4 linked regions of the Pelodiscus sinensis genome follow. The protein of the gene in region 3 interacts with the protein of the main gene of each other region in a pairwise test. Links are inferred from orthologs where the notes say so. Each region holds a gene or a part of one and is shown on either strand. Other genes may lie near its edges.

Region 1 (7,899 bases), on a different chromosome or scaffold from region 3:
TGTAGCTTTGCAACATCTTGCAAACACACACATACTTCACTTTAACCTTTAAATGGCTTTTAAGAATGACATTAACTGTATTATGTATCCTGTAATATAACTGACAATAGAATGTGTACATTTTTAATATGCAATTCAAATGGCGTTTCCATCGGGATGTTCCCTGATCCCTACAAAATTTCTTTTTCCATTCTTGCCTCTTCTGCAGTACAACTGACATATCAAAGGGGATCTCATACAGTTCAATGCAAGGATTTGATTGCAGCTTACAGAAATGTGCTTGCCTATATTATAACTAACTACTTTAAAAGGTTAGCTCTTCAGGAAAGAATCCTGCCTGCTGGACTACTATACATCTCAGATGGATTATTTCTTGTTTAAGATCTCAGATTAATCTGTTAATACTAGGAAATGGCAGTTGCCAAAAGATTTTCATTAGTGGCCAATCTTGCCTCATTTCCATCATGGGCAGAAATGGTGAGGACATGCAAGGAATACAATTGTACTTAAACTTTTCACTGTAGCCTCCTATAAATAATCTATATTTGGGAGCAGAGGCATGATAAATGCAAAAATTAAGTACAAAGAGAGGTGGAAGCCAAATTTATTAAAGTAATTAATGATATGAGATGCCTGAATTTTTGGTGCTTAACCAAAGGGTTCTGCTGATTTCAGAAAGTACTGAGCAACCAGCCTCTGAAAACAAGGCCCTTTAAGATGACAAACTGGGGACTCAAAAATTGAGGATTCCAATATCACCATCTACTTTTGAAAAATTAGACCTAAATTTTCATTTTGGCCAAAATACCTCTTCCTCATCCCATTGAAATCTCCCTGTGACGTGGGTGAGTAATGAAAAGAGGATTTAGCCCTTAATGCAGTACCTGGAAATTGACAAAATGATTAATTCAGGGATAACAGGCTCTTCATAAACACTAGTGAAAATGTCAAGAGTAAATCTCCAAAACAATCAGTATTGTTATTAGACGCAGATGTATATGATCTACTTAGGCAAGCTACTTACTGAACATTAGTAAAAGACTCAGACATATAGTCATCTTCTTCTTCCATGTTTAATATATGTACCCTATTCAGAGCCTCTTACCTATAATGAATGAAAATAGTTTTACACATTTTATCTTTTTAAAATGAATTGAAATAAGATGACTGTATTTGGGCTGAGAAACTCACTGGTTCAGGCTTGCTCTATTTAGTACTGGATGAGTGCCCACTCCCGCCTCCCCTCCCCAACACTACCAGACTGAGGGACTGACAGTAGTATCATTTTTTATTTTGAGAATTACCAGCAGTAGAAATTAATGTTTCAATTATCATCTTTGATTTCTTTTCTTGCTCAGCACAGTTCTATGGCAGCCTCACCTTGGTTATTACTGTTGCCTTAGGTGGGTTACACTTTATACCCTTATCTTAAAAAACAAACACATCCAAAATCATAACTATTAGCTCAGTTGTGTTGATAATGCATTTGTCTATACAGGCAGTCCACGAGTTACGCGGATCCCACTTATGTCGGATCCTCAGTTACGAACGGGGCTTTTCTCACACCGGGAGGATGGGAGTGGCGGGACGCCCAGATGCGCCGCAGTCCTGCCGTCCGCGTTCTCCGGGGCGAGAAAAGCCGCTCCGCATCTCCCTGGTCTGCTGGAGGCTCCCTGGTCTGCAGGGAGACGGGGAGCAAAGCCTCAGAGGATGCCGGCCGCGGGACAGCTGCGGCGCGTCTGGGCTGTCCCGCTGCCCGCGTGCTCCACCGCTTCGCTCCGTGTCTCCCTGGTCTGCTGGGGGGAGAACCCAGCAGACCAGGGAGACACGAAACAAAGCCGCGGAGGACCTGGGTGGGGGGACCGCGGCGCGTCTGGCGGTCCCCCCACCCAGGTCCTCCGCTGCTTTGCTCCGTGTCTCCCTGGTCTGCTGGGGGGGGGGGGGGGGAGAATTGATAGAGGCAGCAAGGGGGGGAGGAGAATCAACTAGTTGACCGACTTTTTATTAATGGATAGTCAGCTAGTCCTTAACATCCTTACTATGGACCCCAGATTAGGGATGTAAGTGACTAGTCGACCACCCAATAAGCACATGCCGATCGGGCTGTTGAGTAATGACTCAACTAGTCACTTCCCTCCCCACCAACCCTTGCTGGCTCTATTAGAAAGAGACAGCAAGGGTGGGGGAGCAGGAACTAGTGCTGGGGGGAGTTGGCTTAAAAGCTGGTTCCCCCCAGCACCGCCGGGGGGGGGGGGGAGGGGAGGGGAGGATGAACGGGAAGCAGAGGCTAGCAGGGGAACTGGGGGAGCCGGGAATCAGCTGTCCCGGCTTACCTCTGATCCCAGGCCCTATGCCTCTGCTTTATAAACGTATTAAGAGCTGCCCTGGCCCACAGACCGAAAATCAGATACAAAGAAAGCCAATCGGATGGTCAGTGACTGCTGCTTTTGTTCCATGTCTAAGAGTGTACAACCTCCAATTTCTGCCTGCACAACTAGTCCCCTCCACCTCCCGGCATCCTCAGCCATCCCCTCCCGCCACCCCACCTCAAAACCTGCCAGCATCCCCAGTTACCCTATCCCCAAACCTGCCAGCATCCCCAGTTACCCTATCCCCAAACCTGCCAGCACCCCCAGCCACCCTATCCCCAAACCTGCCAGCACCCTCAGCCATCCCTCCTATTGCACCCCCAAAGCCTTCCTGCATCCCCGACCCCCCATCTCCCGGCATCCTCCGTCCCTCCCAACCATCCCTCCCTTAGTACCCCTCTTCTTGGGCCCCTCCTTTCGTACCCCCAATGCACCCCCCAAGCCTCCCAGCGCCCCTCCGAGCCGGGGCCTCACCCCGCCGCTCTCCCTCCAGCTCCGACCTGCGCACTCTGCTCAGTCGCTTCCTGGCTCCCAGGCGGCGGCTGCGCCTGCGCCCGACCCGGCCCTTCCTGTCGCTGGCGGCCCGGTGCGCTGCTGTCCGGGGTCCGCCGGGCCGTTGTGGGGCCGCCGCGGGCGGGTGAGTGCGACTGGCGGGCACCGGGGCAGAGGAGCGGCCTTGGAGGTGGCGGCAGCGGCCCGGGGGAGGCAGGCGCTGCTGGGAAAGGGGGTCGCGGGCCGCGCAGAGCCTGAGGCGGGCCTGGCCGATGCTGGGCGCGCCTGCGTGCGGGGCTCGCCTGGAGCCGGGGCCGGGCTCTAGCAGCGGCCGGCGGGGAAACTCACCCGCCCTGGGCGCCGCGGAGGTGGCGGGGGCCAGTGGTGGGGCGGCCCTGCGGAGGTGGCGTGTGAGGGTGGGGGGCTGGCGCAGACTCGTTACACCGGCACCTGGTAGTGCAGGGATAACGGGTAGGGAGCCTGGCTCGGCAGCGGGGTTGGGTGGCCTGTGGCGTATCCTAGCGATTTGTGGCTTCCAGGGCTTGTACCTCCCTGTGCGGATGCAGGCTGCGGCATCCTACCCCTCTGTACCCGACAGCTGGCTTGTTGGCTGAGGGGGCGCATGCAGGGCCTGAAGGGGCAGCTCTTCATATAGTGACTGGTGCGGAGCACCGCGTTGAGGCGAACAATCATCAATCATATTGATTCCTGCATACCTGGGTATTTCTATTGCCCCTGTCTCTAAGGTATCTGAGAGCTTCGCACATGTAAATGAGTTTATTGTCCTGTCACCCCTGTAAAGAAGTATTTTATACTTATTTTACAGATGGGGAACCTGAAGCAACTTGTTCTAGTGTCACTCAACAAGTTAGTGGCAGAACTGGGAATAGAAATTGTGACTGTCCTTTTCTCCTCTCTACTGTTCTGTCTACCAGACAGCTCCTTCTTTCAACCATACACTGCTCTCAAATGATGCATATCCATTCAGAATGCAACTGCAAAGATCATTTTTTTAGCCTGTTGCTTTGACAATGTCACTCCTCTTTGCATTCCTCCACTGGCTTTCCCCTCTCTAGCACATCAAACACAGACTGTTTATCTTCATTTTCAAGGCTTTCTGCAGTCAGTTCCTGCTCTGTGTACCATCTGTTATATGCTGTTGAGCTGTCAATGCTCACTTCCACTAGTTTGAAAGCCTAGCATGAGCCCTGCAAGCCCAATTCTGTTAACCCAGGCTTAGAGGCTCACTGCTGCAGGCTATATAAATGTTCACATTGATTTCTATGACACTGCTTAATTAAACAAGTGTAAGTGTATGTAGAATTGGGATCTGATACTGTAGACTATACTTAAAATGCAGTTCTGCTCTGAAAACTAATTTGCCTTACATAAAAATATTATAGCAAAAGCATTTTACTGCTTTACATTTTATGTTTATTTTAGAGACAATATTGGATTCTGCAGTGAAATCAGAGTTTAAATATTAAGGATGGAGCTAGCTCACAGTCTGTTGCTAAATGAAGAGGCTTTGGCTCAAATAACAGAAGCAAAGAGGCCGGTCTTTATTTTTGAGTGGTTGCGGTTTCTGGATAAAGTGATTGTAGCTGCCAACAAGGTAACTTTATTTCTCCTTCTCTATTTTGCTTTTTAAAACAATTTCAGGTTAATGTCATGCACAGGAAAGGTTCAAAATGAATATCCATCACAATGGCACTAGTATCTGGGAGCCAAACCACAGAGTGACTATAGGTACGCCCCTGCGTAAATCACAATTTCATGGAATGTACAGAAATCATGAAAATGTCTCTGACTGTGATCTTAAGAAAAGTCTACAACTAAGTCTTTTAAATAATAAAGTACCGTAGTCAGTTTCAAAGATGGAATGACTCCTTGATATTGACTAACATTATTTGTGAAATTCATTCTGTCCTTGAAATTTGACTTAATGCTATTTGTAAACTAATTCCATGAAAACTCCACGAAATTCAGTATTTTGTCATTTGCATTGTCCTGAATTTTTCTAAAAAAAAATTTTTAAATTGTGATTTACATAGAGTCCTAACTATAAGTGTATATATAAACTTCTGTCTATCTTATAGTTTTGTAAATATCTGTGCTTATTTGCTTATTGTTACCTGTGCTGAGTCTGAAATTATAGGCTTACAAACTAAAATACTTAGTAGGATCTATAGTTCTTTGGTAATCAAGCTCTTCTCTTCTAGTGTGGGGCCTTTTCAATGGTGTGGGGAAAGAGATGAAAAATGGCAATGGATAGTCCTTGGAGCTTAAAGGATCCTTTGTGAAGTAATATTGTATGGTTAATAAATAATATATGATAAAAACAGTAAGAACTCAACAATAGCAACCTTGTATCTTTCCATTTAGCATTTGTATGTGCTAGTGTTCACTATACTATAGCATTGATTGTTTTGGATTGAAACAAACAAAAATCTACATGAAGGTTGTGGGAAACAGGTAGAAATTACACCTGAATGGAGAAACTATAACAACACAAATTTTCCTTTAACAGATAGATGTCAAGGAAAAACAAAAGAAGCTTGTGGAACAACTTACTGGACTCATTAGCAGTTCCCCTGGGCCACCCACACGGAAATTACTAGCTAAAAATCTTGCTGCTCTCTATAGCATTGGTGATACATTTACTGTCTTTCAGACAATTGATAAGTGTAATGACATTATCAAGAGTAAAGATGATACTGCTGCTTATTTACCAACCAAATTGTAAGTAAAATGTTGCCTTAAGAATTGTGAATGTTTGCTATTAATAGAGCATTTAATATATCTGCATTAATCTGTATGTGTATGTATCTGTGTGTTATATACATGTATGCATATATAATATATAAATAAATGAGACATAATAGCAAGATTGGAAGCATGGAGGAAAGGAATTAGAGCTAACAAAAATTGATATTACTGTCTGGATTTGAAGAGTGTTTTTTCCAGGCAAGGAAATATTTCCTAATCTGGGCTAATTTTTACATGTGTGTGTCATCCAGAGGTCAGCTATTGCCTGACGGAATAAACGTTGAACAAATTTCTTTACTTAGAATTTTTCAGTTATTTATAGGCACATTCTGACTGCCAAATTAAATGATGCATAGGAAATTACAGGCTAGCCACTAACATGGACTTTATCTTTTTTGCTAAGTAATGTTAGGTGCTCTTCAGAAAGAGTGTTCACTGTTTGTATTTATCTAAAGTAGCATACAGTATGTATCTCTTGAATAAATAATCTCTGTGCTCTGTGTTTGTTTAACATCAGCTCACATTTCAGGTATCCTAGTACAGTGATTCTCAGCCTTTTATACAAAGGGTCCTTAATGAGGAGTTATGTGCTCTGATAAATTTGAAATGAACAGCTGGTTGGATGATGATGCTGTCAGTGATTGAAAAATTATTGCTGAGCCTTCTCAGTTGTGTCTGTTAAAAATTTTAAGCTAAGAAAGCCTTGTTCCTTTGTGATATCAGTTTACACATTCTCATGGACCTGGTATACACAGGATCTGCTTCTGTCACGCTGGTGCTGGAACCATTTGTATGTCTAGTGGAAATATAAAATTGCTTAAAATCATTGCTACCTCAACCCTCCTCTTTTGCTCCCACCCTTCCAAACAAACAAAACAAAACCCAACCCAAAACAGAAAACCTCACTCTAACCAACCCAGTTATTCTAGTACCTGAAAAAGAGTGAAAGGAAAAATGTGGGTGAAAAAATTGACTGAACAAATGATTTTAGCATATCTAAATTTAACTGCATTGTGCAGCATTCTACACATTTTGAGCTTGTATGTTGTAAAACAACTTAAATCTTTTCTCAATTGACAGGGCATATGTAACAAAATGTGAGTAACATACTTCTCACCTGTTAACTCAGTTTTGCTGCTGTCTGGCTGAACTCCAATTTCTGCACCATTTAAGGCCTTAATCCTTCAAAGATTTAACTATATGCTTGACTTTACAAGGATTAGGACATATGGACCTATGTAGCATTAGGACCCACGGAAAAAATCCTGCCAACGAATCCCCCACAGAAGCATCCCTGTTTGCATGTAGAGCCCCCTCTTCTCTGATTTAGGTTGAGCTACATATAAACAACCAATGTAATGACTGAATAGTTAATAGAAGATAATTAACAACAGAAAGAAGTTTATTTTTTAAATGTATAGTTACTTCTAGTTGGATGCTTCCATTTAAGTTGTATGTTAAACTTTAACAAAAAGGTTACTAAGAGGCATCTTGTCTTTTTAGGGCTGCAGTTGCATGTGTTGGAGCTTTTTATGAAAAAATGGGCAGGATGCTGGGCAGTTCTTTTCCAGAAACAGTTAATAATCTCTTAAAGTCTCTGAAAAGTGCAGAGGTAAGTTACAAGGGTATTGTAGGGCTACACATTTAGGGCTTTTTCAAAGCCACAACGATCTTCTTAGTTAAAATGTCTTCACAGTTGTTCACTGTACTGGGCATAAAGATGCTATCTATTAGGGATATGAAAGTGTATATGGTTACCCGATGGGCCTGGGCTTATTGGTTAACCTTCATGGTTACATGCAGGCTCCTGGTATGCGTAGGGAGATGGCTTAAAAACTGCCTTCCCATGTGCACTGGCTCCTGGGGAGCTGCCTGCCCCCCTGTGTGTAACCACTGAAATTTTCAGCAGTTACATGGTTACTCAATTACATGCATTTTAACATCTGTCCTATCTGTATAGTTCCGTGGTCCCCAACACGGTGCCCGCGGGCCTGGCCCCGGGCACATGGCGCGCGGCGCTTGCGGGGGGGAGGGGGAGCGCCGGCCCCAGGCGCGCGGCACTTGTGGGGAGGGGGGGGAGCGCCGGCCCCGGCCCCGGGCGCGCAGCGCTTGCGGGGGGGTGGGGGAGCCCCGGCCCCGGGCGCGCGGCGCTTGTGGTGGGGGGGGGGGGTCGCCGGCCCCGGCGCGCGGCGCTTGCGGGGGGGGGGGGGGCGCCGGCCCCGGGCATGCGGGGGCTATGGAGGGGGGCCGCCCCCTGGCGCCCGGCGGG
Region 2 (6,960 bases), on a different chromosome or scaffold from region 3:
CCCATCTCCATTCCTTTAAATACCTTCTTTAAATTGTGTTTAAATTTATTTTATTGGATCACTTTATCAATTCCCTATTGGAGTACCTGTACTGAACATCTGTGACAGAGGCTCCAGCAATTAGCTTGACTGTCTTCCCTCACACCTAGCCCAGTTCCCAGAAATCTATTGATGCCTTCAATATCAGCCAAAAACATATCAACTTCTAAATCTGCAGGTGAACCCTATATTGTCCAATATAGTATGGCAGGATGAGAAATCATCAACTCCCTTATGCCATCTATGATTTTGGCCCCCTCTCTGTTCTCATACTTCCTACTCTTGTCAACCCATGGAGGCTTCACAGCTTCCTGCCAAACCCTGTGTCACAACATGTCCAACCAATTAATTTTTACTCCTGGGAAAGTTCTAGGATCTGCCCCAAGTCCCTCTTAGATCTGAACAATGAGCCTACCCCTTTACAGGTTCCCCAAATCATTTCCCCCAAGGTGAATAACAATCATATCTAGTGCTTGTTCACAGGCCATCTTACTATCAGGAGCATCACCTGTTCCCACAACCAGTGTTCCCTCTAAGATGCACAGGCAGCACAACTTCACAGGTGATGATTAATCAGTCAGCTCCATGCACAGAGCCCTGAGCCTGGCTCGGTGGGGCTGATTAATCACCTGTGAAACTGTGCTGCCTGCACAGCTTAGAGGGAACACTGCCCAAAACATGTCCCTCTCTCACTTTTTAACTTATTTTGGTAAGAAAAAGCATTGAGCCATAATGCAAAGGGAAACAGAATACAACTGTGTTACAACATCCCTAAAGTCACTTTTCTACCATGTATCCTATCACCATAATCCTGATATTCTATGTTAAAACAATTAGTGCCAAGTACTTTTTGTACTTGGCCACAGGTTGGTTTCAGGCATCCCAAAAGGGGCAGGGCTTCAGGTGGAAGGGTTCGTGGCTAGAGAAAGAGAGACTGTGACACAGACTGAGAGTGTGTGACAGTGACAGAGTGTGTGTGTTGGCTGCTGCTGAGTAAGTTCCTGAGAGAAGCTTTACTTTGTCTTTTTAAAGCAGGGGAAACTGCCCTGCTCTGTTGTTGTCCATCCACCCCCTGCAGAGATTGGGTATGACCCATTTACAATTGCTAGTAGCAAGTAGGAATATTAAAAAGCAGGTAATTGGGTAACTCTGTAACTGCAGAAAAGTTTCAGTGGTCTGATTGCTGCATTTGTGGTCAGAAAGCAGCTCTCCTCCATACCAGACAGCATGGGACAGAGATCACTTGTTGAGTTATATTAATGTACTGATGAATTCTTTCAGAAGGGCAGCCATGTTAGTCTGTGTTTGCAAAAACAATGAGTCCTATGGCACCTTAGAGATGGGGGCTACATCTACCCTGCAGACTCTTTGCACAAGAACAGCTGTTCTTGCACAAAAACTTGTGAAATGTCTACACTGCACGTGTGTTCTTGCACAAGTAAATTTACAGTAAAACATCAGAAAAGAGAACTTCTTGTGCAAGAGTTATTCCTCTCCCTACAAGGAATAATCCCTATTACGCAAGAGCTCTTGTACAAGAAGGCAGTGTGGTCAGGCAACAGGGGTTTCTTGCACAATAAACCCCTATGGCTAAAATGGCCATCAGAGCTTTCTCGTGCAAAAGAGCATCCACACTGCCATGGATGCTCTTGTGCAAAAGCACAAGGCAGTGTGGGCGCACTCTCGTGCAAGAACTCTTGCACAAAATAGTTCTTACACAAGAAGTCTGCAGTGTAGAAATAGCCTAACAGATTTATTAGGACATAAGCGTCCACAGGTAAAATCCTCATCATCAAATAAATTGGAGTGGTATTTACCAAGGCAGGGGGATATACACAAGGGCTGTGTCTACACTGGCATGAATTTCCAGAAATGCTTAAAACGGAATACTATTCCGTTTTCAGTTTTTCCGGAAAAGGAGCATCTACATTGGCAGGCTGCTTTTCCGGAAAAGCCCTTTTTCCGGAAAAGCGTCTGTGGCCAATGTAGACGCGCTTTTCCGGAAAAGAGCTCCGATCGCCATTTTTGCAATCCGGGCTTTTTTCCGGAAAAGACTACTGGGCTGTCTACACTGGCCCTTTTCCGGAACAGTGTTCCAGAATAAGGACTTATGCCCGAGCGGGAGCAGAATAGTTTTTCCGGAATAGCGGCTGATTTTGTACAGTAGAGCATCGTTGCTTTTCCGGAAATTCAAGGGCCAGTGTAGACAGCTCGCAGCTTATTCCAGAAAAGCAGCTGATTTTCCGGAATAAGTGGCCCAGTGTAGACACAGCCAAGGACAACTTAAGAAAGAGGATACTTGGGTAAATGAGGCTAATCAAGTGTTATGTGACATCTTTACATTATGATTCAAGGACTTCAATAACGTACAGGCGTGGGTGGATTCTGTAGCCTGCAAAGGTCATGCCAGAGGACTTGATCATGATGAACCCTTCTGGCCTTAGCTATCAGTATATAACTATCCCCCCCCCCCCACCCGACCCTCCGCGAAACCTGGGTTTCTTCCTTCACTCGGCTCGTGGCCACTTCCTTTCTAGGCTGATACCGGCCCCCACTTGCTGCCCGGCTCTTTTCAAAGCTTCACTGCGTTGTCTCCCCCTGGACCTTTGCCCCGAGCTCGTCTCACCTACGGGCACCCTCCCAGGACGGGTCCGGCCCCCCAAGAGCCACCGGAGGTTTCGGCGAGCGGAGACGATGGGACGCCCTCACCACCCAGGCTCCCGTCCCGGCCTCCCGCGCCAGCGTCTCAAGGGTCTCCTCGGCCGCCCGCTGCCCCCACGCCGGGCCAGAGCCCTCACCTGGCAGCGCCATGAAGCCACGAGCCCCGCACGCTCTCCCCGGGCAGAGCCGGACGCAGGCCCGACACCCGAGCGTCCCGGCCGGAGGGCTTTGGGCAGCGCACACCGGGCCGTACCATTAGGCGGGGAGGGGAGGCGGGATCACACCACGGTGTCAGTGCGGGGGATGGAGGAGGCGGGTCGCTGGGGGAACTCAGGCCTAGGGCGCACGACGGAGGCGTTTCCCAGAGCGGGTGCTGCGGCTCCGCGTTTGGCCTCTCGCTCCTGCTGCCTCCCCCCGCGCCGCGGCGCCAAATCCCGGGGTCCAAGATGGCGGGAGGTTCGCAGAGCTAGTCGGGGTTTCAGCAGCGCCAGACCAGGAGCGAAATCGGAGTCGCCGGGTCCGTGCCCGCCCCGCCACCAGCATGAGCAACATCTACATCCAGGAGCCTCCGACCAACGGCAAGGTGCGGGGGGGGGGGAGCAGAAGCCGCCGCCAGGCCCCTGGGGAAGGCGAAGGGAGCGGGAGCCCGACGGGCAGCGCCGAGAAGGGCCCGCGGGACTGTTCAGTATCAGTTAATTGAATAGTCAAGAAACCGCATCAATTCCTATTGTTACTGGCTATTTGATAGTCCCCCGGGGTGGGGCCGGCAGCCAGCGCACTCCAGCCCCGCTCCCAAGGAGCCGTTACCTCGGCTACAGAGGCGGCCGCAGCACAGGGTGCCAGGTGGGAGCTGGTCCATGAGGGAATCCGGGTTAAAAACCAGCTGCCCTCGGAGACCAGCTGCCTGCCCTGGGCTGCTGCCTCTGGTCTAGGTGGGGTCAGAGTTCCCAGACCTGGTGCAAAGCAGAACTGAGCTTGGCTGCTTGCTTGCCTGCCTGCCTAGCTCTTAATACACTTTAAATGCAGAGCTGCAGCGGGGGTAGGTCATGGACTTGGTGTGAGCTAGGATTCTGGCCAGCCTGCTAAAAAATTTACTGGCAGGGGAGGAGGGAAATGCGTGTAATATATAGCATTAACCAGTAAGCTTTTACTTACCAGTTAATTGGTTAATTGGCTACACTATTGCATCCCTAGAGCTGCTGCACCTCCTGGCTTGAAGCAGCCATAACCAACAAGTACATGGTTTCCATCATCGCCACCCACACTATAAAGTGGTTCCATCTAGGAATGTAAAATACCATTCAGTCAGCTAGCTAGATAAATATTATGTTTAACCAGTCAACCGCATAAATGGGGGCGGGTGTGGGGGGAGCAGCTCCAGACCAGATGTATTGGAGCCACCTCCTGCCCCATTCACCATGGACACATTGGAGCAGTTAGGCTGGGCTGGCTGCGGGTGTAGGTTGCTCCAGCTGGACTGGAGCGCCCTTGCCCACAGCACGCTGCTCTGTTAACCATTCACATCCGTAGTTCCAGCACTCCTACAACTATGTTACAGTTGTTGGCAGGTGCAAGTTAGCTTAGCGTATTGCCTGTGTGAGCATATAGTCCTGTGCTTGCATTCTTGATTGCTTGCCTTGGCACTGAACATATGCATGCAGAGTAGTTGGGTCAATGCAAAGTGTGGTGACTTGCATGTAGGTATTCCAGCCTGCAAACCAGCGCTGAATAGTGAAAGGGTGAGCAATAAGACAGTGGCAATTCACCACAGTTAGCCCAGGGCAAGCCGCCAGCCCTTTATTTACCTGCATGTCCACAGGTACGGCCATTTGCAGCTCCCATTGGCCCCCGATCAGTGTTCCTGACCAATGGGTGCTGCGAGAAGTGGTGTCGCAGTCCACGCTACTTCCTGCAGCTCCTGTTGGCCAGGATCAGCAATTTGTGGCCAATGAGTGCTGCAAACATCTGTACCTGCAGCTGCACAGGTAAATAAAGCATCAGTGGCCTGCCGTGGTGAACAGCGTCTGGCCTGTGAGCCACTCATTGCCCACCCTGGTCTAGCACAATACCTTTAGGGAAGTTTTCTCCTATGGTGGGATAGAAATGATGCACACCGTGATTTATGGGAGATAAGAGTAAAGTTCCCAGTATGCAATTTAGAATAATTTGGAACTCTTGGTAATATGGAAGACATAGTACATGGATTTGTAGCAATGGGATTCCAAGGCTGTGATATACATTAGACAAATCCCCATTTTGATACCAGCTTACCTTGCTATAGAGTACAGCAACAGAAAGGACTACTTTTTTGTGATTATGCAAGCAGATCACTAGGGGAACTTTACTGACATCAGTGTGGGGTGGGTCAAGGGGAATGCATGATGCTTATGTCCAGGGCTCGACAAATAATACAATCTACTGGTTGGTGACCACTGCCCTAAACACTTCATATATGAAGTGTGGGGGTTGCTTCTGAGCATATACTTACCACAGGATCCAGAGGCTTTGAAGCCTGGAGACCTTGGCATGCCCTGGTGCCAAAGGTACATGGGAAGGAGAAGATCTCTCAACTGAATTTTAATCTCTCTAAACAACTAAGGACTGTAACTACTATTAACTCACTGACGTTAACAACTGTAAAGGACTACGAAAGAGTAAATAGGCTGCTTCACTTGCAAACAAGAGAATAGGGGAGTTTCATCTCTCACTGATGGTAAGAAGGAATTGAGGAGGCTTTTTGTTTTCTTTACTACTAGAAGACTTATCTGGCATTGCCCAGGTGCTTCATTGCAGAGGGCTCATGGAGTGTGGGGGTCCAGGAGTCAGGGTAGGGCCTTGGGGATGTGGGGAGCTCAGGGCATGAGGCTGGAGGCATGGGAGTGTGTGAGAGTGAGCATTGGGTGGATGAGGCAGGCTCAGGACAGGGGGGCTCAGGACAGAGTGGCTGCTGGTTTCTCCTCGTGGATAGCCCAGGGCACCGGGTACTACAAACTCCCTCTGCTGGCTTGTCCCCAGGGCAAGCAGGGGCTCGCTCCTTCCCTCCTGGCCCAGCCAGGAGTGGAGGGTGTCTTCCTCCCCCTAGATCCTTCTGGGATGGCAGGGGCTCTTTTCTTCCCCTATGACCCTGCCCAGGTCATGGGGGGACTCTCTCTCTCCCGTCCTGGTTCCACCCAGGGCAGGGGGCTCTCTTCTTCCCCTCCTGGCCCTTCCCGGGATTTGGGGGGCTATCTCCCTTTCCCCTGATCCCTCCTGAAGCAGGGGGTGCAGCAGGGTCTCTCTTTCTCTCCCCCTTACCGCATCTGTGGTGAGGGAGTGAGGGTGGCAGGGGCTGTCTCCCTGGCAGGAGGGCCTTGCTTACCTTTTCTGGTGGCAGGCAAAATGTCAGAGCCTCAGCCCTGCTGGCCACTTCCTTGGTATTATGGCTGCCCCAATGGACACACTATAGCAGGAATGGACAAAAGAGCCAAGTTGATCTGGCCCATGGAAGCCCTGCCACTTCCCCTACCCACAGGTCAGTTAGGGCCTGGATGTGGGGGAAGCACATGAAGTCTCCTCCCACTTTGCCCCGCCCTGCAAGGAGTGTGTGGCACTTAGAAGCGCTGGATGTTTCTGGCAGTGTGGGAGGAGACACTGTGTGCTCCCCCACCCCCAAGCTTTATTGGCCTGGGGGCAGGGAGAAGGGAGTGAGCAAAGTCTCCTACCGCCCTGGGAGGGGCGTGGTGCTTCTAAGTGCCACACCCTGCTCCCATTCTGCAAGGAGACTTCGTGCACTCTCCCCATCCCCAGGCCAATTGGGGCTTGGGAGCCGGGAGAGCACATGAAGTCTCCTTCTGCCCTGCAAGGGCCTCAGCACTTAAAGTCAATTGCCAGCTGCTACTCAGCTGACTGTTGACTCTAAGCAGGGTGCTCCCTTGTGGGGTGGGGTCTGGGAGTGAGAGACTTCACATGCTCCCCTTCCCCAGGCCCTGATTGATCTGGGGACAACAAGAGGGATATACAAAGTCTCCTCCCACTGCCAGGGGCACGAATACTTAGAGGGAACCGCCAGCTTTTCAGAACAGCTGATGATTCTCTTTGGGGGGGGACAAAGACTTTATGCACTCCCCTACCCCCAGACCAATGAGGGTTTGTGGGTGCAGAAGCATGGAAGTATCCTGGCCCCATCCCTTCTATCTGATGCCCTGCCCCTTCCTGGGTGGCCTGGGAGCACTTCAAAAATTTCTGAAGTGGCCCCTGGTCAAAAATTATTGCCCACCCCTG
Region 3 (7,393 bases):
CACATGGCACTGCCGCTTTGAAACGCCACATGCAGCCTGAGGCTAGCTGTGGAGTCTCCAGCTGGCCCAAGACTGCACACGGCGTTTCAAAGAGGCAGACCCTGGGCTCCACACAGTGCTGCTGCTTCAAAGTGCCCGCTCTTCCTCTCCCCCACCCCCTTGCTGCCTCTTTCTGCAAGGCAGGGGGGAAGCGACTAGTGTGTGACTATCCGATAAGCATTTGCGACTAGTCGTTCACATCCCTACCTTGGGGGTAGGAGACTTAGGTATAGGGCAGTCTCAGATGGGGGGGGGTACCCCCAGGCAGCCACTTTCACCTGCCTGATGATTATGCCTCTTTTCTGTATGATTTTATGCATCCCCATATGCATCGAGTGGGGGAGGAGTGTGTATAGCTGTTTAAGATTAACCGATAATTCTGTAAAATCGTTACTCATACAGGGAATCCTTTAGACTTCTGCTTGCACCAAGTAAGCTGAGATTCTCTATTGGCTTTCTTGTAATTTTTTTGGGCAATGTTATCTCATCACAAATAGGAAGGGAAGTAGTCTCTGCAATCACAAAGGGATGGGAGAATGGCCTGCGAGGCATGCTACTAGAATGAGCATGAAAGGATTTGAGAGCCTCTTATTTATAATGTAATCAGACTTTTGACAAACATTTGAACGATAAGTTAAAACATAATTTAACTGCAACCACAACATGAGTAATCATTGAATGGCACTGTCCAAGCTTCTAAAGAAAATTCTACAAAGAAATGCCATCCTTAGTAATGTTGGTTATTCTAACGGACTGAAACCTGCATTTATTTAAAGAAAAGTCATGTATGCAGCTGCAATTTGTCATAAAATGGTCAGAGTTATACAAATATTAAAAGCAACCAAGATGAAAAAACTTGAGAAAACTCTACACTGCAATTAGCTATTCACTACACTGTGTAACAGCAGACAACTTTTACCTCAGACTTCATAGCTTGCAGCTAGTTTGTTGATTAATAAGTTAAAATGAAAGTATGGACAGAAATCACTACCCTATTTATAAGTGCTACTTAAAATCAGAGAAAAACTGAGCAAGAAAAGGATTCTGACTTCCCACATAATCGCTTGACTTGATTTCTGTACAGAGATGACTCAGTCCATTTTTGTTTATGGAATCTTGCCTGCTGGTAAGTGTTGAAAAAACTAAAAAAGGAGGATTGGGAAAGTGACTCAAAGACAGGAAAGAAAATGGCAACTGAGCTAGACTACTTTAAAAAAGCTTTTCATTAAAACAAGCCCAAAACCTGATCTGCAGAGTACTATGAGGATATATTTTATTGATTCACCTCTAATATCTGTCCACTGCCAACAATAGACCAAGGACAACCAGCTACTTATCACCTAGTTCACTGATTCCACCAAAGCCATCATAAGGTGTTTACTATTCCCTAGAGATCAAATGCTTATGCTTATCAGATAGGAGTGGACTAGTCAATTCCCCTCACCTTTGCTGTCTCTATCAGAGGGAGCAAAGGGGGGAGAGAGAGGGAAACCAGGCCTTAGGTTCCCCACCCTCTGTTCTACAGTGTTCAACTTATCCATACATTAGAACTCTAAATCTCAAAGGCTATGTCTACACTCATGGCTTCTTGTGCGAATAATATGCAAATGAGACTAAGCATGGAATATCGCCGAGCCTCATTTGCATACCTAATGAGCCACCATTTTTTTCAGAAGAGGCTCTTGCGCAAGAAGGACCGTCTACACTGCCCCTTCTTGTGCAAGAAAAACCCTCTTGCGCAATGCCGTTCTTCCTGAAAAGTAATAGGTGTAATGGCATTGCGCAAGAGGGTTTTTCTTGCACAAGAAGGGGCAGCCTAGACGCTCCTTCTTCCGCAAGAGCCTCTTCTGAAAAAATGGTGGCTCATTAGATATGCAAATGAGGCTCGGCGATATTCCACGATTCGCCTCATTTGCATATTACTCACCCAAGAAGCCATGTGTAGACATAGCCAAATAGTTTAACTCAACAACTGCTACAGTAAGAAGCCAAGATACAGTAGTGTTTCAGTCTCAGGACTTGTCTGAACAGTGAACATCCTAGCGATAAAGATCTGTGTTACTAATTGGAGAAGTAAAAGTGATTTAGTTTGCAAAAACTAAGAGCATTAACTAAGCACAAAAGACTGAACTGGACACTGAATAGTTTGTACAGTGCCACTGCTTGCTACGACTCTCCCCCCCTTAGATAAGCATACCAGACCTATGCCAGTGACGCTGAGCGTTTCAAGGGGAGATAAAAGGTTACCATAGTAGAGACAAAAGAAAAAAAAAATCACCAGAGAGCCCATCGGCCCAGACCCCCAAGCCAGAGCTGTCTTATTTCGGGCGGGGGGGGGCAACGTGGGAGATTAGCAGGATTTCCCGTCGCGGTGTCTCCAGGGTGCCCAGGACGGGGGCTGGCCGCCTTGCAAGGGGCAGGATCAGGAGTTTCAGTAACGAGCAAGGACACGCCCCGTTCCCTCGCCCGTCCCGGTGGGTGCGCGCAGCGACCCTCTGGCCTTTACTCCTGGCCCCCCTCCCCGTGCCTGGCTGATGCACACACCGCGCAGCCGCAGGTACCGTTCGGGCCGGGCCGGGCGCGCTCGTACCCGGAGGGGCCCAGACAGGGCAGCTCCGGGCGGGGCGGCTGCGGTGAGCGAGCCGGGGGGTGATACCGCCCCGAGTGAAACTGGGGGGGGGAGCGCTACCCGCCCTGACACTCACCGGCCGGGCCGAGGCGGCGGCAGCTGCTAGTCTCACACCGCTATCGGCGGCTCCTGGGGACGCGGCTCTGCGAAGGGAGCGACGACGGAGGCTGCGGTACACAACGGCTCAGCGCGGGCTGTGCGCATGCGCCGGTCCCGTGACACTATGCAGGAGCGGGGGCAAGGAGCCTCTCGGCAGCTAGGAGAGGCTCCTGTTCCCAGTCCGGCCCCGCCCTCCCTGAGCGTCTGCTGCGGGGGGAAGCGAGCTGAGAGAAGGGACCTGCCCTGCCCGCAGGGTTGCGTTGCTTCCCCCCCCACGCCGTGACTGGCCTCCTGAGGGGCTGGCTCGGCTGCGCGAGACCCCACTTCCCTCACAGCGCGGGGGCGGGGGGAGGCTGTGCCCGGGCCCCCGGTTGCCAGGTGCGTTAGTAGCCTTTGGCTTGACGTGGTTTCTGTCACTGACTTACAGGACGTGCGGTTTTCGGTGCTGGCGCTCGGCCCCCACCCAGCCAGGCGCGTACATCGGTACCTCCCCCCCCCCCCCCGCGGGGTTAGCGAACTGGGGTTCAGACAGCGCAGCCAGAGCACTGCCCCGAGTCGCGCCCTTCTACTCTCGTAGCCCTGAGGTACGGGTTTGGCCCGGGGCTGACGAGGACGCGTGTGACAGTTGTGACTGCTGCGAGGGAGGCTTTCTCCATAGCCGGAATTATGGGATAATCTCAAGTGAGGAGCCAAAAGCGAAAACTACAGCTTGTCCCATGTCAGGGTCTGAATGCTCTGTAGCACCCACCCTAGCCCTATTTCTATTCCTGTTCACTCTCGATGGAATAGATGGGCGGAGTCTTCAGTCTTCCATCATGTATTTGCCTCCTTTATTCCTGCTTTTATCTTCTCCGTTCAGTGCCTGGGTGGCCATGAGTCAGTGTTTCTGTGTCCATATCGGTTTTTTAAGTATACGCTGTTAAATGGTTTACATCACTTACTGTGTTCCGGTTGTGTTGTGGTTTCACTTCCTTAGAGGAGGGACTTCATTTGCTGTTTTGGCTGCTGTGTTGTAGACAGTTTCTGTTGCGCATCTGGCCTTCACCTCCGCATCATCATTGGATGAAATCATTTGTGGATTTAATTTTTTAGTCTCAGAAACACTCTTGTCACTTTGAATGTAGATTGCAAGGTCTTTGAGAGTGGGACCTTTTTTGTTCAGTATCTAATTCAGAGTTATAATAATAAAAGCTAATGATTCTCTTACTACTTTTCTACCTTTGAGTGGTTGTGACTATTTTCTTCCACTATTTGATCTGAGGAAGTGGGTCTGGCCCACGAAAGCTTATAATCTAATAAACCAGCTTGTTAGTTTTTAAAGTGCTACATAGTCCTGTATTTTGTTTCAGCTACACCAGACTAACACGACTACAGTTAGGACATGGAATGAAAGGTCCAGAACCAGTTAAGTAAACCAGGCTTAGCACAAGAAGGAGGCAAGCTGCAACTGATTAGGCTTCCACATTGTAATGAGCTCAGTGCTGGCCATCCCTTCCACCTACACCGATTCAGTACAGTATTATTACACACTTATATAAAATACATTATATTGTAGGTTGAAATTTGTATGATTTATGTGTCATTTTGAATACACTGTATTATGCTTCACAAAACAAAGGTAAGACACATTTTTTAGCCTACGCCCAATTAGAGATGTTAAATTAGATTACTTAATTAATCAAATTGTTGAGGGGATTTCCATCAACTATTCGATTAGTTGATAAGGGCACCTCCGCCTTTGAACTATAGCAAGAGCCTTACTGATGGATAGCACTATTCAGTATTTTCATTATTGACTTGGACAAGGGGTGGGCAAATTCTGGCCCATAGGCTGGATCCGGTCCTCAGGGTTAGTCCCTAGCAGGCCCCCATCTCCAAGTTTACCTGAGCCTCCACAGGTATCGGAGGATTGCAGCTCTTGTTGGCTGCGAATTGCCGTTCATGGCCAATGCAAGCAGCGGGAAGTGGTGTCCTGGTCTGCAATGCTTCCTGCTGCTCACATTGGCAATGAACAGTGATTTGCAGCCAACTTGAACTGCGATCCTCTGATACCTGTGGCCAGCGCGAGCCATTTTGGCGTCCCATGCACTTGGCGCTGCCCCTGGGATGCATGGCCCCACCTTCGGACGCATGGCACATGTGCGGGCCCATCCCCGGGACATGCGGCCCAGCCTCCGGGCACATGACGTATGCGCGGGCCCACCCCCGGGGCACGTGGGCAGACACACAGCGCATGCGCTGCCCAGTCGGCCTAACCACCGCCAATGGCACACAGCCCGGGGCCGCCAATCAAATCAATATCTCAGATGCCTGTATACACATGCAAGGAGTATCGGAAATAAGCAGGAAGATCTTGAAGTGCTAATAAACAGACATAGTTGGTATCACAGAGACTTGGTGGGATAATACACACAATTGGAATACTGGTATAGAAGGGTACAGCTTGCTCAGGAAGGATAGGCACGGGAAAAAAAGGAGGTGTTGCCTTATATATTAAAAATGTACACAGTTGGACTGAGGTGGAGATGGTCATAGAAGACAGGCATGGTGGCTGTGTCTAGACTGGCAAGTTTTTCCGCAAAAGCCGGTGCTTTTGCGGAAAAACTTGCCAACTGTCTACACTGGCCGCTTGAATTTCTGCAAGAACACTGACTTCCTACTGTCTGAATTCAGTGCTTCTTGCAAAAATACTATGCTGCTCCCATTCGGGCAAAAGTCCAGCTCAGATTTGTTTTGCACAAAAAAGCCCCGATCACGAAAATGGCGATTGGGGCTTTTTTGCGCAAAAGCATGTCTAGATTGGCACAGACGCTTTTTGGCAAAAAGTGCTTTTGCGGAAAAGCGTCCGTGCCAATCTAGACGCTCTTTTGCGCAAATGCTTTTAACGGAAAACTTTTCCATTAAAAACATTTGTGGAAAATCATGACAGTCTAGACATAGCCGGTGAGTCTCTGGGTTAGGTTATAAGGAGTAAAAAGGGTTAGTGTCATACTAAGGATCTACTAGAGATCACCTACCCGGGCAGAGGAGGTGGTTACGGCCTTTCTTAAACAACTAACAAAATCATCCAAAGCACAGGATTTGGTGGTGATGGGGGTCCTCAACTATCCAGACATATGTTGCAAAACTAACACAGCACAGATTATCCAATAAATTCTTGGTAAGAAGGTTGAAAAAGCTACTGGGGGAAAGCTGTTCTAGATTTGATTTTATCAAATAGGGAGGAACTGGTTGAAAATTTTAAAGTTGAAGGCAGCTTGGGTGAAAGTGACAATAAAATCATAGAATTAATGATTCCAAGGAATGGTAGAAGGGAGAACAGCAAAAAAGAGGCAATGGATTTCAGGAAGGCAGATTTTAGTAAACTCAGAGAGCTGGTAGGTAAGGTCCTATGGGAAACAAGACTAAGAGGAAAAACAACTGAAGAGAGTTGGCAGTTTTTCAAAGAGACATTATTAACGGCCCAAAAGCAAACTATTTCACTGCGCGGGAAAGATAGAAAGTATGGTAAGAGACCACTTTGGCTTAACCAGGTGATCTTACATGTTCTAAAAATCAAAAAGGAGTCATATAAAAAGTGGAAACTAGGACAAATGACAAAGGATGAATATAAGCAAACGATGCAAGTATGAAGGGGCAAGATTAGAAAGGCAAAGGCACAAAATGTGCTCAATCTAGCTAGAGACATAAAGGGTAACAAGTAGACATTCTACAAAAATATTAGAAGCAAGAGGAAGACCAATGACTGGGTAGGTCCATTGCTCAGTGAAGAGGGAGAAACAATAACAAGAAACTTGGAAATGGCAGAGATGCTTAATGCCTTTTTTGTTTTGGTTTTTGTCAAGAAGATGGATGGTGATTGGATGCCTCACACAGTGAGTGCTAGTGGAAGTAGGGTAGGTTTAGAAATTAAAATAAAAAAAGAACAAGTTAAAAGTACATAGAAAAATTAGATGTCTTCAAGTCACCAGGGCCTGCTGAAATGCTTCTTAGAATTCTCAAGGAGCTGGTAGAGGAGTTATCTGAGCCTTTAGCTATCATCTTTGAAAAATCATGGAAGACAGGAGAGTTTCCAGAAGACTGAAAAAGGGCAAATATAGTGCCCATCTATAAAAAGGGAAATAAGAACAACCCAGGGAACTACAGACCTGTCAGCTTAACTTCTGTACCAGGGAAGACAATGAAGCAAGTAATTAAGGAATTCATCTTCAAACAACTGGAAGACAATCAGGTGATAGGTAACTGTAAAGAACAAATCATGTTAAACCAATCTGATAGCTTTCTTTGATAGGATAACAAGTCTTGTGGATAAGGGAGAAGCGGTGGGCATAGTATACCTAGACTTTAGTAAAGCATTTGACACGGTCTCGCATGATCTTCTGATCAATAAACTAAGGAAATACAAACTAGATGGGGCTACAATAAGGTGGGTGCATAACTGGCTGGATAACCATTCTCAGAGAGTAGTTATTAATGGTTCACAATCATATGAAAGGGCATAACAAGTAAGGCTCCACGGGGGTCTGTTTTGGGACCGGTTCTGTTCAATATCTTCATCAATGATTTAGATGATAGCATAGCGAGTACAGTACAATTATTAAGTTTGCAGATGATACCAAGCTGGGA
Region 4 (7,919 bases), on a different chromosome or scaffold from region 3:
ATTATTCTCACCAATACTTTCTCTCTAAGAAACATTATACCATTTTAAAAAGCAATAGTTTTTGCACACATTCTAAGGGTTATTATTCCTGTTCATATTTTTTCATTGGATACATTTTTCATCCAGAACTATGGAATGAGAATTAAAAAATTCTTCCATTGTGAAGCAGAAAGAGAATTGTGTCACTCAAACTGCTCTGTAGCCAAGGGCACCATTAAACTTTTCTTATGTTCTGTATTTTGAAAGAATTGCAGTATAAGCATATGGCACTTATATTTTCTTAGTTTGGAAAAAATCTGTTACAACTCATCCATCAAATTTTATCTTTCAAATAAATGAATGTGTGTTCATGTGTGTCTTCCTTATTACAGCAATTTGTTTTGTATATTAGCTGCAGAACTTTTCTTTAGCAAACACATAACATTTAAAGAAAAAAAATACTGTATTTGAGTTCTTGGATTTTCAAGACAAATATATTTTATACATGTCTGAGATCTTTTAGCATTTTCTGGTATTCATTCTAGTTTTATATCTAAGTGAAACCAAGAAAGACACACTTTGTAAAATGTATGCTAATTATTAGCATCTTAATGAAGAGAAGGAGATTTCAATCTCCTTTTTCTAGAGCCAGTTTACAAGATAAGACTATTTGTCTGGTTTCTGAGCTACTGGTTTTGATGCAATAGTTCCACCCCTAGAAGAGACCTTCCTACCAATCATCCAACGCCAACTCCTGCAGACTCAAAAAGTGAGAAACATGAGACCTAGGACTAAATAAAGAAGCTATAGAAACTAAAACCTGCATGGTGCCCATTGAAAAAAATTATGTACAAAGAACAAATATCTTCTTTGCAAGAAGTGCACCAGTCCAGGTAATCATCAAGTGATCCCACCCCGTTACCATTCCCAGCCTCTGACAAACAGAGGCTAGAGACACCTTCCCTGCCCATCCTTGATAATAGCCATTGATGGACCTATCCTTCATGAATTTATCTAGGTTTTTTTTAACCCTGTTAAAGTCCTGGTCTTCACAACATCCTCTGGCAAGAAGTTCCACAGGTTGACTATGTTGCGTGAATAAATACTTCATAGAATCATAGAGCTGGAAGAGACCTCAGGAGGTCATCAAGTCCAGCCCCCTGTCCAAAGCAGGACTAATCCTAACTAAATCAACCCAGTCAGTGCTTTGTCAAGCCGAGACTTAAAAACCTCTAGGGATGGAGATTCCATCACCTCCCTAGATAACTCATTCCAGTACTTCACCACCCTCCTAATGAAATAGTTTTTCCTAATCTCCAACCTAGACCTCTCCCATTGTAACTTGAGACCATTGCTCCTTGTTCTGTCATCTGTCACTACTGTGAACAGCCTCTTTCCATCCTCTTTGGAACCTCCCTTCAGGAAACTGAAGGCTGCTCTCAAATCCCCCCTCACTCTTCTGCAGACTAAACAAACCCAAATCCCTCAGCCTAACCTCATAGGTCATATGCTCCAGCCCCCTAACCATTTTGGTTGCCCTCCGCTGGACCCTCTCCAATGCGTCCACATCCTTTCTATGGGGAGGAGGGGGGCAGAACTGGACACAATACTCCAGGTGTGGCCTCACCAGAGCTGAATAAAGGGGAATAATCACTTCTCTAGATCTGCTGACAATGCTGCTCCTAATGCACCCAATATGGCATTAGCCTTCTTGGCTACAAGGGCGCACTGCTGACTCATATCCAGCTTCTCATCCACTGTAATCCCCAGGTCCTTTTCTGCAGAACTGCTACTTAGCTATTCGGTCCCCAGCCTGTAACAATGCTGGGGATTCTTTCATCCCAAGTGCAGGACTCTACACTTGTCCTTGTTGAACCTCATGAGATTTCTTTTGGCCCAATCCTCTAATCTGTCTAGGTCACTCTGGACCCTATCCCTGCCCTCCAGCGTATCTATCTCTCCTGCTAGCTTAGTGTCAAGTGCAAACTTGCTGAGGGTGCAATCCATCCCCTCATCCCGGTCATTAATAAAAATGTTGAACAAAACTGGTCCTAGAACAGATCCTTGGGATACTCCGCTAGAAACTGACAGCCAACCTGACATCGACTTCATTTGTTTTAAACCTGCTATCTATTTATTTCATTTGGTGACAGCTAGTTCTTGTGTTATGGGAACAAGTAAATAACTTTTCCTTATTCGCTTTCTCTACATCCGCCATGATTTTATAGACCTCTATCATATCCCCCATTAGTCTCTTCTTTTCTAAGCTAAAAAGTCTCAATCTTTTTAATCTGTCTTCTCACACATGTAAAGTAACATTCCTGTAATTTTATCCAAAGTAAAACGATGGGATATTATCTTCCAGAACATCGATTTTGTTCTCTATTGTCACTGTTTCACAGGAATGTCTGGCTACTAGGACAAATGTAGGCTGTGGTTCTGAAAAACCTAAGCATATGCTTAACTTCAAGAACCTTTGTAGACCTGCTGAACTCATAGGAAGCAAGTCTTTGTAGGATCAGGTCTGTGGTTAGAAAATAAAAACAATATTTATTAATTCTGAATGAAAATGTTATAGCAATTATTCCTCAGATTATTGCCTAATAAAATAGATACACTGTTAATACATGTTGTATTTAAGAATGCATAAAGCTGCAAGTAATAAAAACATTTAACTTCAAAGGAGAAAATATTACATTCTATTACATACCAATCACATATCCATGCCATTGCCCTCTGTGAAACAAAGTTCCTAGATGAAATATTTCTCCAATGTAGTTTCTACTCATATGACAAATGCCATTCTCTTTTAGACCTAAATTTAACCATGTCCCACTCTAATCTGCCATTCATTCATTTGAATTATAAATTTAGAACGGCACACTACAGAATCAGGAAACTGAAGTTGTGGAAGACAGTAGCTTCCAGTCCGACTGTTTTGTGTCTATCTTTCTTTTTGGCACTTGCAGATTCATTATAGATTATTTCTGACCTTTCAGGGAAGATTCGTATTCTTCAGTCTTCACTCTGTTACAATCCCCCCACTCCTGCAATTTGAGTAAATGTGAGCTGTTTTGACTAAGGACTGCAGGATTTGCCCTATGTTACACAGTTAGCCGCTAATTCATTTTGAAGCAGTGCAAAAGCACAGAGAGAAATTTGTGATGATGATACTCATCTAAGTACTTGGTGTTAGTTTATTTACCACAAATGAAGAATTATGTCTCCTTTTGTCAACAGCTCTCCATTTACACATAAATACAGGGACTCACAAACCAGTACTCTTAAGGGCGGAGTTGGCAACTTCAGGTTGTGTTTTGTTAGATACAAACAGAATGTGCTCTGTAGAATTTGGTGTATAATTTTGTAAACAAGGATTACACCCCTATGTGCGGTATATATGTACAGTCTGTGTATCTGTTCTCTGACAAACCAAACAACATAAAATCTGGCCCTTTTTGCAGGCAGCTAATGCATTTATTTCATGTATAAAATCATAATTGTTTTATTGTATTGTATCATGGCAGGTAAGGAACTGGGGCATCCTGTCAACCCAGGGTGTGCTCAGTTAAGTGTGAAAAGGAAGGAAGGAAGCATCCTATACTCTTTTGATGTCTCAGAGGGGTAGCTGTATAATCTGTAACTTTAAAAACAAGGAGTAGCAGTAGAAGGGGACGTCTACGCAGCAGCGTTATTTCGGAATAACTGATGTGATTTCAAAATAACAAAATATGCGTCTACACCACAAGCCGTTATTTCAAAATAAGGCGAGCTGGAGGACTTCTTACTCTGCCTCCTGTAACCCTCATTTCAGGAGGAGTAAGGGAAATCAGAGGAAGAGTGTTCTTCCTTCGACATCCTGCTGTGGAGACAGAGCCAAAAGCCAAATTACATTATTTCAACTTCAGCTATGCAGTTGACATAACTGAAGCTGCATGGTTTAATTCGACTTTTGCCCTGCTGCGTAGACATACCCTTCAATACTAACAAAATATATATAGTATCGTGAGCTATATGAGGAAGTGGGTTTTGCCCATGAAAGCTCAGGATACTATACATATATTTTTGTTAGTCTCGAAGGTGCTACAGGAATACTCTTCAAGCATCCAGGAAGGATGTCAAGTGGAGCATGCAAGGGGTGATAAAGGACTGGAGCTCAAAATGCCACTGAAGAGCAAGTCCCCCATTGAAGTCTTCCATTGAAGAGCACAAGGTTAGCCAGGCTGGGTAGGAATGGTTCCCCTTACCTCTGTCAGGCTGGAAATGGGTGAGAGGAGAGGGCTCACTTGATGCTTACCTAAAAAACAACAACGAATGTTCCTATGGCGTGAGACTACCCAAAAAATATAGATAGTATCATGAACTTTGTACCCACGAAAGCTCATGATTCGATCTGTATTTCTGGTTAGTCGCTAAGGGGCTACAAGGCCATTGTTTTTTTAGTTACAGACTAACACAGCCACCCCTCTGAGAGTTTTGACAATCCTGTTCTGTCCGCTGCATGACACTGGCCACCCTCCACAGACAGGACAGGGTGCTACATGGACCTTTGGTCTGACCCAGAGTGGCCATTCAGTCAGGGGGAGAAAGAAATGGGACACCAGGGCCTACATGATACAATCTGAAGGGGTTGAGAACAACTTGAGGGCTTAGCCCGGCCTTGAAGGGAAAGTGGGTGAGAGTCAGGCCCGGGCTTGGCGTGAGACACAAGGATGTGGGGCATCGAAGGCCCCACTGTGCAGCAAGGTGCGGGAGGAAGCGGCTCGGGCTGGAGAGGGCTGCAGGGGAGGAGGGGGAGCAGAGGGAAATGCAGCCCCTACCGCCAGGCGCGCAGCGGAAGCTGCTGGGCTGCGCCTGCAATCGGTGCGTTGCCCCTTTAATTGTGTCCCCAGCCCTCGGGCGTCTCTGTCCGACGCCCACGTCAGCAAATCCCTTTTGTTTCTCTCCCGTTCGGGCTTCCGCGGGCTGGGGCGGCGGGACCCGCCAGCTGCATCCGAGCCACCGAGCGCCCCGCGCCGGGCTTTGGGGGATCCCGCACCCACCTCCCGCTCCGCCCGGAGCCCGGCCGGTAAGTGGCGGCCCCGCAGCCGGCGGGCCGGACTGGGCGTTGCGGGCTGGGAGCGGGCCCCGCAGCCAGCCGCTTGCACGGGGCGGTGGGGCGCTGCCGCCGGCTGCCTTGCGCGCAGGGGGCTGGGGCCCTGACGCGGCCACCCCCGGGGCCCCGCTGCTCTCGGGGGCCGCCTCTTCGCCCCGGAGCCAGCGGCGTCTGCAGAGACCTCGGCGGGCGCCATTTGCAGCCCGAGGCGCGGCTGCGAGGGGCCGGCAACAAAGGGCTGGCTGGGGAGCGGGGCGGCGGGGAGCCGGGCGAAGGGGGCCGGGGGGTGCGAGGCGGGCAGCAGCCGCGGCGGGGCTGCACAAAGGGGGAGAGAGGCGGGAGCCGGATGGACACACGCCAGCGGGTGCAGGCGCGCCCTGCAAGCGGGCACTGTCCGCCCGGCTGGTGTCCCCGGGCGCATGGCGCAGCGGCCGGCTGGTGTCCCCGGGCGCATGGCGCAGCGGCCGGCTGGTGTCCCCGGGCGCATGGCGCAGCGGCCGGCTGGGGGGCGCAGCTCCGCCGAGCCTCTCTCGGGCGCTGGTGGCCCGGCCGCTAGGGGAGCGGAGGAGGAAAGCGGCCGGCCCCGCCTGCCGCGGTCTCTCCCTCGCTAGGCGCTGCCCCCTGCGCTGGGCGGGCGTGTCTGGCGCCGTCGGGCGCCCCTGGCTCCCGCGGGGGGAAGGACCAATTCGGGCTGGACGCGCGCGCTGAGTGGCGGCGCCCTCCGCCAATGTCCCGGTGCGGGGAGCTGGTGTCCAGGGCGAGTTGTGCGCGGCTGCTTCTCTCCGCCGCCTCGGTCCCCTCTGCCCAGAGGATGCGGCGTGGAGTCAGGGCTGCGCCTCCCCTCTCTGGGCTCTTGTGGGTTTGAGAACGAATGGGCTCTTAAAAACACACCTGGTTTTGGAATTGGTGGCAGCCCCTCTGGTTTACATGCAGCCTGTCACGCTTGCAACTGTTCTTTATTGCAGAGCAAGGCTTCCTGCTTGCCCCCCTGCCCCCTCTTTTTTTTTTTTTTTTTGGAATGGAGATTTCTTCCCATCAGTTTCACCTCCTGCAGCAACTCAATGAGCAGCGCAAGCAAGACTTGTTCTGTGACTGCTGTATCCTGGTGGAGGGGAAGGTCTTCAAAGCCCATCGCAATGTGCTGTTTGCCACTAGTGGTTATTTCAAAATGCTCCTTTCCCAGAGCTCAAAGGATCCGAGTCAGCCAACCACTGCTACCTTCCAGGCCTTTTCTCCTGACACGTTTACAGTTATTCTGGATTTTGTGTATTCTGGCAAACTTTCCCTCACTGGCCACAATGTGATTGAGGTCATGTCGGCTGCCAGCTATCTTCAGATGACTGACGTTATTAGTGTGTGTAAGACGTTCATCAAGTCCTCCCTGGACATCAGTGAGAAGGAGAAGGATCGGTATTTCAGCCTGTCAGACAAAGATGTGAACTCCAATGGCGTGGAACGCTCCTGCTTGTATGGGGCTGACTGGAGAACGGAAAACAGCCCCCCTCATTCTCACTTAAACCCTGATCAAGGGACTTGCGTGATGAGTGGCAATGCTTGGAGCAATTTCAGCTACTATCCAGCTTCGCAGAGAAATGCGCAGCAGCAGTTGGCCAAACATGACCAAAGGCAGGAGTCCATCAAAAAGACTAGACATTTGGGATTGCAACAATCCTCCGACGTTCCCCATTATAAGTCAAGCAAGCTTGAAGACCGATCCGCAGACCCTCCTAGCCACCTTTCTCCATCTGAGGAGGAAGTCCAAATTGACACAGAAATTGACTCTGCCCATGCTGGGTACCAGTATGGTCAGGGGTCCGAGGTGATGCCAAGGAGCTTGGTTGTTACACAGCAAGAACACGAATCACCCCATTCTTCTAGCAAGTCAAAGTCCTCAAAAGCCGATGAGCAGTATGGCAACATACCCTCAATTTTAGGTGTAATGGGGAGCTGGGCTGAAGGTAAGAGTTGGTCATTTGTACCTCTCTCCTCATTTTCTTTCAAAGATGATGTTTGAATTTTTACTGGGTGAAAGTTGCAATGGAAAACATGTATCACCAGCTCTGTCGATGGGGAAAAATATCTGACTGTGTCCAAAAGGCAGGGGGAGGGAATATGTTCAGCTGCATTGCCTACAAATGCAGGATTGGAAAATAATATTCCCTAAGTGGTCCAATTCTGTAATGGCATGAACGGTACCTCTCTACTGTAAGTCACCAAGTTCTGAATTGGTTTCTCAAGCTTTGGAAGGATTCCAAAATGAGGTGAGTGTCATAGAATTAGAGCTCTCACTTTTTCCTCTCCCGCTTTAATTCCATTAACCCCTGTGCCGTTAGGTAGACACAGAAACACAAAATCATGCATTGAAGGTATTTAGCAAACCATTGGGACCCTGGGGTAGGTTCTCAGCAAGGGTAAATCTTTAGCTCTGTTGATTTGTACTCCTTTTTATTTCTGCAGTATCTTTTTGGAGATATGGTGTCCAGAACTGAATACACTATTCCAAGGGAGAGTGTACCAGCTGATGGTATTAGCTCTTCATAGTAGTTTTCAATCCTTTCCTTTTTACATTGTAATACTTGTGGTGTTTTACCATTGTTGCATGCTGAGCAGAAGTCTTTGCGGAGCTGTCCACAAGGATCCTCAGGATGTAGAGCAGTCAGGTGCATACATAATTCCATCGTATGAACTATGAGCTGTTTATGGAAAAGAAACTGAGTAGCTGTTTTTTAGCCAAAGTTCTCTCTTTAGTACAGAGAATATCCGAGACTACTCTTTCAAGTTGGAACCAAAGTGGGCTTTTTTTTTCCCCTATAAAAGGAATATAGGATCTTATTAAGTTCTTATA

What was found.
Region 1: the proteins of SDCBP (region 3) and GPATCH11 interact in binary tests that used the Homo sapiens proteins (3 or more experiments, as listed by UniProt). The two-hybrid records come from large-scale screens. The link is inferred for Pelodiscus sinensis from reciprocal best matches to the Homo sapiens genes SDCBP and GPATCH11.
Region 2: the proteins of SDCBP (region 3) and uncharacterized protein LOC102460411 interact in binary tests that used the Homo sapiens proteins (3 or more experiments, as listed by UniProt). The two-hybrid records come from large-scale screens. The link is inferred for Pelodiscus sinensis from reciprocal best matches to the Homo sapiens genes SDCBP and SREK1IP1.
Region 4: the proteins of SDCBP (region 3) and zinc finger and BTB domain-containing protein 8A interact in binary tests that used the Homo sapiens proteins (3 or more experiments, as listed by UniProt). The two-hybrid records come from large-scale screens. The link is inferred for Pelodiscus sinensis from reciprocal best matches to the Homo sapiens genes SDCBP and ZBTB8A.

What each region holds. Positions count from the first base shown.
Region 1 is NC_134713.1:137,256,875-137,264,773, reverse strand, and holds the start of GPATCH11 (G patch domain-containing protein 11), read right to left. Parts: upstream 3,007-7,899; 5' UTR 2,870-3,006; exon of another isoform or gene 2,844-2,869; intron 1,106-2,843; 5' UTR 1,072-1,105; coding exon 1,025-1,071; intron 1-1,024. Other genes in the region: HEATR5B (HEAT repeat-containing protein 5B), read left to right, coding at 4,351-4,476, 5,392-5,603, 7,134-7,242.
Region 2 is NC_134716.1:91,047,249-91,054,208, reverse strand, and holds the start of uncharacterized protein LOC102460411, read right to left. Parts: upstream 3,013-6,960; 5' UTR 2,851-3,012; coding exon 2,838-2,850; intron 1-2,837. Other genes in the region: spliceosome-associated protein CWC27 homolog, read left to right, coding at 3,242-3,283. UniProt on the Homo sapiens protein: Possible splicing regulator involved in the control of cellular survival.
Region 3 is NC_134712.1:63,002,397-63,009,789, forward strand, and holds the start of SDCBP (syntenin-1), read right to left. Parts: upstream 3,005-7,393; 5' UTR 2,745-3,004; intron 1-2,744. UniProt on the Homo sapiens protein: Multifunctional adapter protein involved in diverse array of functions including trafficking of transmembrane proteins, neuro and immunomodulation, exosome biogenesis, and tumorigenesis.
Region 4 is NC_134735.1:3,441,629-3,449,547, reverse strand, and holds the start of zinc finger and BTB domain-containing protein 8A, read left to right. Parts: upstream 1-4,912; 5' UTR 4,913-5,047; intron 5,048-6,039; 5' UTR 6,040-6,092; coding exon 6,093-7,032; intron 7,033-7,919. UniProt on the Homo sapiens protein: May be involved in transcriptional regulation.